Linked DNA regions of Saccharomyces cerevisiae S288C. The protein of the gene in region 2 interacts with the protein of the main gene of each other region in a biochemical or structural test. Each region holds a gene or a part of one and is shown on either strand. Other genes may lie near its edges.

Evidence for each region.
Region 1: of the proteins of TEF1 (region 2) and EFM4, one has a biochemical effect on the other in vitro, tested with the Saccharomyces cerevisiae proteins (one study listed by BioGRID).
Region 3: of the proteins of TEF1 (region 2) and NNT1, one has a biochemical effect on the other in vitro, tested with the Saccharomyces cerevisiae proteins (one study listed by BioGRID).

Annotation. Positions count from the first base shown.
Region 1 is NC_001141.2:240,114-243,360, forward strand, and holds EFM4 (Efm4p), read left to right. Parts: upstream 1-1,913; coding exon 1,914-2,603; downstream 2,604-3,247. Other genes in the region: ribonucleotide-diphosphate reductase subunit RNR3, read right to left, coding at 1-595; FIS1 (Fis1p), read right to left, coding at 1,195-1,662; YRB2 (Yrb2p), read right to left, coding at 2,648-3,247. UniProt on the Saccharomyces cerevisiae protein: S-adenosyl-L-methionine-dependent protein-lysine N-methyltransferase that mono- and dimethylates elongation factor 1-alpha (TEF1 and TEF2) at 'Lys-316'. May play a role in intracellular transport.
Region 2 is NC_001148.4:698,507-702,515, reverse strand, and holds TEF1 (translation elongation factor EF-1 alpha), read right to left. Parts: upstream 1,923-4,009; coding exon 546-1,922; downstream 1-545. Other genes in the region: GRS2 (putative glycine--tRNA ligase), read left to right, coding at 1-402; MRL1 (Mrl1p), read right to left, coding at 2,502-3,647. UniProt on the Saccharomyces cerevisiae protein: GTP-binding component of the eukaryotic elongation factor 1 complex (eEF1). In its active GTP-bound form, binds to and delivers aminoacyl-tRNA to the A-site of ribosomes during protein biosynthesis.
Region 3 is NC_001144.5:705,564-708,802, forward strand, and holds NNT1 (S-adenosylmethionine-dependent methyltransferase), read left to right. Parts: upstream 1-1,796; coding exon 1,797-2,582; downstream 2,583-3,239. Other genes in the region: PUT7 (Put7p), read left to right, coding at 1-567; ECI1 (dodecenoyl-CoA isomerase), read right to left, coding at 635-1,477; YLR285C-A (uncharacterized protein), read right to left, coding at 2,605-2,775; CTS1 (chitinase), read right to left, coding at 2,885-3,239.

The DNA.
Region 1 (3,247 bases), on a different chromosome or scaffold from region 2:
TGAAGTATCTTAACGACATCAAATTATAAGTCTTCAGCACAGATTCGATATCGCTACCATGGATACCTAGCGCCACACGCATTACCAAATGCTGAGGACGTTCTGCCACTTCACCGTTCAGTCTTAGCAAGTACGAACGCTCCAGTGTCTTGAATCCGAAATACGTATACTGGAAATCCCTATCGTACACGATGGCCGAGTTCAAAGTATCTTTGTTTTCCATGACAATGTTGTAAATTTCGTCCGAAATCATAGGAGCATGCTTTCCAGTAGCTGGGTTAATCCAGTCGTGTAAATCCTCAATAACTTTGGAGAATTGCTTTGTGGTTTGCTTATGTAAGTTAGAGATGGCGATTCTAGCGGCTAGAGTGGCATAATCAGGGTGCACAGTGGTCATGTATGCACATGTTTCAGCTGCAAGATTGTCCAGCTCAACGGTAGTAACACCGGAGTACACACCAGAAATAATACGTTGGGTTACCTTAACAGCATCAATACGGTTTGGGTCTAAACCGTATGACAAACGGGTGATACGGGAGGTAATTTTATCGAATTGAACGGGCTCTTTGCGGCCGTCTCTTTTAATAACGTACATTTGTGTGGGAGTATTTGATTTATTGCTGCTGCTATTCTTGCTTGTCATATTTATTTCAACTTGGATATGAGATGAGAGAAAGGCAAGGAAGAAGGCAAAAGAAGGCAAAATAGCAGTGCGTTTATATACGTTTTGCAGCAGAACACGAAACAATATAAAGAACGCTGACACGAAAAACGAAACGCGTCAGCATCTCACAATACAGTATTACGATTTAACAATAGACTATTGTTTTTTTCCCATCTTGTCGTTTGGTCCTCGCCATGGCAACCGGGTTTTTGCCCCTTTGAGCAGCGCCTAGGTGTCGTTGCTGCGACAACCACGAAAAAAAAAAAAAAAAAAAAACAAAAGAACAACGGCACGCAATGTTGCTGTGACAACCGTAGGCAGATAACTTGGCTTTTTTTACTACTTTAGGAAAATTAGCAGCCAAGAACGAGGGCTTGCTCTGCTACCTAGTTCAAACTGAAACAAGCCTTCACTTTCTTTTCTTTTCTTTTTTTTTTTATCTAACAACTGAAGATTAAATGATAAATGTTTACGCGTGCGTGCGATTCATTCTTATGTATGTACGTATGTGCTGATTTTTTATGTGCTTGTTACCTTCTCTTGTTTCTTAAGAAGAAACTAGCCACGGCCACAGCGCCGGCTAGTACGCCTCCAGCGACGACAACACCCTTGAGTGTTTCCTTCTGGATCTTATCCTCTACCATACTCTTCAAAGCGCCCACCTGCTTGTTATTACGCTCATGCTCAAATAAAGTGTCTACATATCTCTTCGCCATAGAGTATTCACCGAGTTTGTAGCAACCTATGGTCAGATAATATAGGCATTCTCGTCTACGGGACTCGGCCTCTTTGTAAATGTCTGTGAGGATTTTCACACCAAGCCTTTCGTCATTCACGTCAGTGGATTTGATCAGCCCCCATGCGTAGTTAAACCTTGACTGTATGGTAGCGGTGGGCCCCCCCTCGGAGACGACTTGCTGGCGCAGAATCTCCAGCTGCTGCGGATAGAGTGGTTCGTATGCGTCCTTAAGAGTTGGCCAAAAATCTACTTTGGTCATACTTATGTTGTATGGCTGTGCTCTGATCTGTGCTTCTATGTGCCGTTTTTACGCAAGGTATATGATAACTTCTGTGCAGAATAGTGGCAATGGCAGCTTTGCTTTGAAAGGGGTCCAGCCTAGCCCGCTTGCGGTGTTCCGGCATAAATGCGCAAAAAGATTGGTTCATGAAAAGAAGTGAAAAAAAATCGATGAGCTCAGCTCTTAAGAACGGTATTATGGAACGAACTCAACCCGAAAAGGTAGTACAGATGCAGGGCACGGCAGATTTGAGCACTTCGAAACTTGGTACGAAAAAATACTGGGATGAACTGTATGCCCTGGAGCTGGAGAATTTCAGGCGGAATCCGCAGGATACCGGGGACTGTTGGTTTAGCGATAGCGATGCTGAACAAAAGATGATTGATTTTCTGGTAGATAACATTGGTGCGTACAGAATTTCTGAGAATGCTTCTGTTGTAGACCTCGGTACAGGTAATGGACACATGTTATTTGAACTGCATCAAACGGAATTCCAAGGGAAACTGGTCGGGATAGACTATTCTGAGGAAAGCGTCAAACTCGCTAGTAATATAGCCGAGGCCACCGGTGTTGACAATTTCATCAGTTTCCAGCAAGCAGACATCTTTAGTGGTGACTGGAAGCCGGGAAAGTATGACATTGTGTTGGATAAAGGGACCCTAGATGCCATTTCATTGAGTGGCATGAAGATCAACGGTAAACTTGATGTAGTCGATGTATACGCCGGAGTAGTGGAAAGGATTTTGAAAAAAGACGGTATTTTCTTGATCACTTCTTGTAATTTCACACAAGATGAACTAGTAAAGATCATAGAGACTGATAATTTGAAAATGTGGAAAACAATAAAATACCCTGTTTTCCAATTTGGCGGGGTCCAGGGTGCGACCATATGTAGTGTAGCATTTGTTAAACAAAACTGATTTGTTTTTATCTTTGATTTATTTTTAACGTTATTTCTCTTTACTTATTTAGGAACGGATTTAACTATAATGTTATACAATTCATCCGTGGTTTCCTTCTTACCAGTCTTTATGGCGTACTGTGCAGGATCACCGTTATCATCTACTGCTAGTAATCTTATGAATTTTTCGCTTTGCAAAGAACCTGTAAATCCTTTTTGCACAGTGAACCCCTTGACCAGTTGGATGTTTAAAATGACTTTTAAGATACCACGAGACCTCATAACAATACGCGTCTTCTCGACGTCGTCCTTACTTTTATTGATTTTGATGATACCAACACCTCTTTCCTTCCAGCCTTCTTTTATGTTGGAAAGTTGGTACAGCTTCGCATTGACTTGATATATGCACTCCTCAGACTCTTCACCAGACTTGACTTCCTGTTTCTGCAATTTGAGGGGTTTTGGTTTGTCTTTTGTATCTTCTGAGGCATTCGCTAGTTGTTCAGATCCACTATGGACTTTATCTTTGTCAACATCAGTAGCTTTCTTTTCACTTTCAGAGTTATTTTCTGTTTTGTTTTTCAGTATGTTGAAGCCGCTGCCAAATGATAAACCTGAACCAAATGCAAATGGCTTCTTTGTTTTGCTGTCAGAGGCTGGTAA
Region 2 (4,009 bases):
CGAGTGGATAGTGAGTCAAGAGGCTTCTTCTCTTTTCCATTACAGATAGCGCCGATCAAAGTATTTGTTACGACAATATCGAATAACGATGGCTTCCCCGCTATACTTAAGAGGATCTCGCAGGCTTTACGTAAAAGAGAGATATACTTTAAAATTGACGATTCCAATACTTCAATTGGTAAAAAATACGCCCGTAACGATGAATTGGGAACACCATTTGGTATCACCATAGATTTCGAAACTATAAAAGACCAAACGGTGACGTTAAGAGAAAGAAATTCTATGAGGCAAGTAAGAGGCACTATTACTGATGTGATTTCGACCATTGACAAAATGCTTCACAACCCTGATGAATCGGACTGGGATAAATCAACATTTGGACTGTCGCCTGTTAAGATATAACTGAAAAAAGAGGGGAATTTTTAGATACTGAAATGATATTTTAGAATAACCAGACTATATATAAGGATAAATTACAAAAAATTAACTAATAGATAAGATTTAAATATAAAAGATATGCAACTAGAAAAGTCTTATCAATCTCCTTATTTCTTAGCAGCCTTTTGAGCAGCCTTGGTAACCTTAGCGGCCTTTTCAGTCTTGTCAACAGACTTGATAACACCGACAGCGACAGTTTGTCTCATGTCTCTGACAGCGAATCTACCTAATGGTGGGTATTCACTGAAAGCTTCAACACACATTGGCTTAGATGGAACGAACTTGACCAAAGCAGCGTCACCGGACTTCAAGAACTTTGGATGGTCTTCCAACTTCTTACCAGATCTTCTGTCGTTCTTTTCCAACAATTCGTCGAATCTACAAGCAATGTGAGCAGTGTGACAATCCAAAACTGGAGAGTAACCAGCAGAGATTTGACCTGGATGGTTCAAAACAATGACGGTAGCGTTGAAAGAAGCGCAACCCTTTGGTGGATCGTTCTTAGCGTCACCACAGACGTTACCTCTTCTGATTTCCTTAACGGAAACGTTCTTGACGTTGAAACCAACGTTGTCACCTGGAACACCTTGTTCCAATTGTTCGTGATGCATTTCAACGGACTTGACTTCAGTGGTAACACCAGCTGGGGCAAAAGTAACAACCATACCTGGCTTGATGACACCGGTTTCAACTCTACCGACTGGCACAGTACCAATACCACCAATCTTGTAAACATCTTGCAATGGCAATCTCAATGGCTTGTCAGTTGGTCTAGATGGTTGTTCAATGGCGTCAATGGCTTCCAACAAAGTCTTACCCTTGACGACACCGGCCTTGGTTTCCTTTTCCCAACCCTTGTACCATGGAGCGTTGGTGGTAGCTTCAATCATGTTGTCACCGTTCCAACCAGAGATTGGGACGAATGGAACAGTCTTTGGGTTGTAACCAACCTTCTTGATAAAGTTGGAGGTTTCCTTGACAATTTCTTGGAATCTGGATTCGTCCCATTTGACGGAGTCCATCTTGTTGACAGCAACAATCAATTGTCTAACACCCAAGGTGAAAGCCAACAAAGCGTGTTCTCTGGTTTGACCATCCTTAGAGATACCGGCTTCGAATTCACCGACACCACCAGCAATAATCAAGATAGCACAGTCAGCTTGAGAAGTACCAGTAATCATGTTCTTGATGAAATCTCTGTGACCTGGAGCATCAATAACGGTAACTTGGTACTTTGGAGTTTCGAACTTCCACAAAGCAATATCGATAGTGATACCTCTTTCTCTTTCAGCCTTTAACTTGTCCAAAACCCAAGCGTACTTGAAAGAACCCTTACCTAATTCAGCGGCTTCCTTTTCGAACTTTTCGATGGTTCTCTTGTCAATACCACCACACTTGTAAATCAAATGACCGGTAGTGGTAGACTTACCAGAATCGACATGACCGATAACGACAACGTTAATGTGAGACTTCTCTTTACCCATTTTGTAATTAAAACTTAGATTAGATTGCTATGCTTTCTTTCTAATGAGCAAGAAGTAAAAAAAGTTGTAATAGAACAAGAAAAATGAAACTGAAACTTGAGAAATTGAAGACCGTTTATTAACTTAAATATCAATGGGAGGTCATCGAAAGAGAAAAAAATCAAAAAAAAAAATTTTCAAGAAAAAGAAACGTGATAAAAATTTTTATTGCCTTTTTCGACGAAGAAAAAGAAACGAGGCGGTCTCTTTTTTCTTTTCCAAACCTTTAGTACGGGTAATTAACGACACCCTAGAGGAAGAAAGAGGGGAAATTTAGTATGCTGTGCTTGGGTGTTTTGAAGTGGTACGGCGATGCGCGGAGTCCGAGAAAATCTGGAAGAGTAAAAAAGGAGTAGAAACATTTTGAAGCTATGGTGTGTGGGGGATCACTTGTGGGGGATTGGGTGTGATGTAAGGATTCGCGGTCCTCGAAAATTAAAAGTCCAACGCGCCTGTTGCTTCCTATGTGATATGTATTATATGTAATATGCATAAATATATCTACTGCATTGTATTTTGAACGTACAAAGTATGCATTGTTTATACGCTATTATCAGCCAAAGTTGGGTGGTCGCTTTCTGTTGTATGACTATTGATGTCTAGGCTGTCAATAATTTCGTTTTGAGCCTCCATGTCTCTGAAGAACTCCCTGTTGGCAAGGCTGGACGAAGAGGCAGATGGGGATGACCGTAGTCTTATGCCCCCTTGACGGCTGTTCCTGCCTCTGACTAAAGACCTCATTAAAGATTTCGTGAACCTTCTTGTCGTCTTAATTATCCCGTTGAAAAATTTACTCCAGCGAGACCCGTCCTCTATGAGGTCCCAGTGTGGTTGCTCATTTAAAGATGGCGATATGTCGTGTAACTCGTCGTCGTTTTTCAAATGCCTATTTAGTTTAGCATAGATCCATCTTCTCCCCGCAAATTCGACTAAAAAGAATATAGCGAAGATACCGATGAAGATACCCAAAACGTTAACTTCATTCTTTTTGTTTGAGGTGGGGCACGCATGAATGCTGCGGACTTCGAAGAAATACGAGCAATTGTGTAGGTTTCCAATGTATGATATCTGGGCCTTTGATTGAATTTCTTTATCGCAGACAAAATTCAATAAAGTTGCCTTCTTGTCCTTCCCGTTCGGGCACATAGAGCCGTTTTCGTATTTGAGAGTTAATTTCTTGGCAGTAGAGCCGCCGACTAACGCAGGCCTTGTACTGAAGTCTCCAATCGATACTAAATTATTTTCGTTCAACTGGTCTACGTAAAAAGCGCCCGTTAGATTGGACAGTTGTTGCGACTCAGCTTCTCCGACAGGACTAGAGCAGATGCCTAACGTGAAGTTTGTATCGTAGCCCCAACCTCTCACTGACCACTTCGTCTTGGAGGATTCATGCTTGTTATTGCCAGAAATCTGTTTTTGGCCCTCCCTTAATTTGTTGGGAGTTGAAGATAGCTGTGATAGATCTATGTATGATCCGGTGACTGGGTTGGTTACCGCACAAAATAGATCTTCATCGTTTTCGCTTTTGGGTTTATCCGGATTTGCTAACGTTCTTTTTTGCTTGTGAGAAGCCCTATGTTCATTGGCTTCATGGGACAGTCCTGGACCATTGTATACATGCAAAAGTATTGGTATGGTAATGATTAGGACACATGATAGATATATTAGAGATGATCGTTTCAACATATTTTCCAGTGTGCGATCCTACAGTATGTTTTATGTTCTATAAAATAAAGCCCTTTTTTGAGAAGTAGTATGCTTAGTAAGAGTCTCCTGTAGTTTTGCGTTCTTATTATTGAAATTGAAATACTTGGCATTTTCTTCAAAACTTAACCCTTCTTGTTTCGGATACCTCTTGTACCTGCACCCGAAAGGGAAACGCGGCCAAATACAGCCGCAAAGTGACAGTAATGTGAATAAGTATAAGAAAGGATTAGTGAGCGGGAACTACAGTTTGGTAAATAATTAATTTGAAATTTACTGCCAAGGTAGAAAGGTGTCTTTTTTTGAATTTTTTTTTTTTTTTTTCAGAAGAAGGTTTTTCTTTT
Region 3 (3,239 bases), on a different chromosome or scaffold from region 2:
GCTCTATTGTTGCAACTACTAAATGATCAGTTTTATTCCTGTTACAATGATTTGTTCTTAAGGGATATGGAGCTGAATAAACAATCACATTTGTTCAGCTCGCTAGAAACAGAATTGAAATTCGCAATTCAAAACTCTAGAGACACGCAACTAAATGAGCACCACTTGCAATTATTAAAACTCAAGAGAGAACTTAACTCAATCCATGATGAACTGAATGAAATCATAATAGATCTTTTGCAAAAGGACGCTAAATTAGAATTTAACAATCAAAAATTAGAAAACACCCTTTTGTATCGACAATTAAACCTGAAATTGAACGACTGTTCTAACAAGATTCAAACCAAGATACTGGGGGATATCAGGTCACATATCGAAAATTTAAGATGGCAGACAACCAGAAGCGGTCTTTTGGTAATATTAGTCCTTGTTTGTTCGATTATGATCGGTGTAAGCGCATCTAAGAAGGAACGCCCAGGTTTACAGGAACCTGAGGAACCTGAAATTTTAGCACCAAAGGAAGACATTGATACTACCTTCCCTCAAGATCAACATGATATAGATTAATTAGCATACATATTGTCTGTACATAAGTATATTGTGTGTGCGTTTTGTTTCACTGAGAAAGCGGACGTCATAAACGATGCTTCCTTTGTTTCGAGCCCAGCTGCCTAAATCTTTTTAAGGGCTCTCCATCTACCCAATACTTGAGAGATTCATTTACTTCCACTGAGTTAGCCTTATTGAATGCATCGATGTGGTTCGATTTCAGCAATTTTTTCATCCCTAAGCAACTGGGCAGGTATAGCCCTTTCACTTTCTCCCTCAATTCTTCTAAGACCTTTGCATTGAACGCTTCAGCGTTTGAAGATGGCATGTTAAAATTCTTGCTTATAAATCCGTTCTCGCACATTATATCGTACTTGAATGGTTTGTTGAACATGAGGCATTCATACGTCGTATTTGTGCCAAACTTCAATGGCAAAGAGACCGTTGTACCACCTTCGGTAATTAGTCCTAAGTTAGCAAAGGGGTATAGCAAATAAACCTTGTCATTTATACTGTACACAATGTCACATAACGCTACCAGTGCCGCGCTCAACCCTATTGCTGGTCCATTCAAACAGCAAATTAAAACTTTGGAATGCTTGATGAAGGCATCAGTGACATAAACATTTCTAGCGACAAAATTTGACACCCACTTGCTTGTTTCCGAAGGATATTTATTGGTATCATCCCCTTGGGCTTTTGCAATACCCTTGAAATCAGCACCACTGGAAAAAAATCTACCACTGCTTTGTATAATTGTAAAATATACATCACGATTTCTGTCCGCTAGTTCTAGTAACTCTCCTAAATAAATATAGTCTTCACCTTCTAGTGCATTCAAATTGTCAGGGTTCATTAAGTGAATAATGAAGAATGGTCCTTCAATACGATAACTGATTTTCTCATTTTGCCTAATTTCTTGCGACATATTGTTCTTCCTTCCTTTACTGTGCGAGCAATTTGTGCCATACACTCCAATTATCTATCCATATGTTCATCTTTCAGTTCTTATATATAGTGCTTCACTTTTATTAACCGCTCTTGGGGTAAAAGAGAAACGGTCACTGCTACAGCCTTTCGGAATAATATTTCTTATGCCCGTCGCCAATTTCAGATTCTTTCCTTCGTGCCGCATTTATTTTATTTTTCAAAATGACGAGAAGTTAAAATCTAAAATCAGGAAAAAGAACAGTTGCAGATGACGAAATACTTCGAGCATTATCGCAATAAATAAGGCGTGTAAACGTATGTCAGATATAGAATCATTGGGAGAGGCAGCAGGTTTATTTGAGGAGCCAGAGGATTTTCTTCCTCCTCCACCAAAACCTCATTTTGCAGAATATCAAAGGTCACACATCACAAAAGAGTCCAAATCAGATGTTAAAGACATCAAACTCCGTCTCGTTGGAACGTCACCACTTTGGGGTCATCTCTTGTGGAATGCAGGAATATACACCGCAAATCACTTGGATTCTCATCCAGAATTAATAAAGGGGAAGACTGTTTTAGAATTGGGTGCTGCTGCTGCTTTACCTTCCGTTATTTGTGCTTTGAATGGGGCTCAAATGGTTGTTTCAACTGATTATCCAGATCCTGATTTAATGCAGAACATCGATTATAATATAAAGTCTAACGTTCCTGAAGATTTTAATAATGTCAGTACGGAGGGTTATATTTGGGGAAACGATTATTCTCCATTGTTGGCACATATCGAAAAAATAGGTAACAATAATGGAAAGTTTGACTTAATCATTTTAAGTGATTTAGTCTTCAATCATACGGAACATCACAAATTACTTCAAACAACAAAGGATTTATTAGCTGAGAAAGGTCAGGCGTTGGTAGTATTTTCACCGCATAGACCAAAATTGTTGGAGAAGGATTTAGAATTCTTCGAATTGGCTAAGAACGAGTTCCATTTGGTTCCTCAGCTAATTGAAATGGTTAATTGGAAACCGATGTTTGACGAAGACGAGGAAACAATCGAAGTCAGATCTCGTGTTTATGCGTACTATTTAACACATGAAAAGTAGTAAGTGGGCGGAATTGGCATTCTCAACAATCATTTTTATGTTTGTAAACCAGTGTCCTTTGATATGTAACAATTAAATAAAATAAGTCATGATGGGGCACGAATTCGCAAAATGGTAGAAACACAGTAAATCGAAGAAAATTAAATAATTCGTTATAGATATAAAGTAGTCGATTATAAAAACGTAAAAACATGAAGGCAGGGTACCTTGACGAAATAAAAGAGAGGCGGTGAGATGAGGTGAAAAATAAAGAATATTGCAAAAAAAAATATTCGGACTCTATGAATCAATCTCTAATAACTTTAAAAGTAATTGCTTTCCAAATAAGAGAAATTACATTGGGTATAGACTGAGTCGCCGGAGTCATAAGCATAACATGTGGTTCCAGAAGCACATTCCATGTAAACCCAAGCGCTATGATCACAAACGGCGAACTTCCCATCAGCAGAGCATGCAATTTCACCTTCAGTACAGGTAGATTTACCGTTCAATTTACCAGCCGCATATTGAGCATTCAATTCTTTAGCCAATGTACGAGCTGTACTGTCTGAGCTTGTACTACCTGAGCTTGTACTACCTGAGCTTGTACTGGTCGTTGTTGGGGAAAGCGTACTAGTAGTAGCTGTCTGTAGGGAAACGACAGAAGAACTCTTCGTT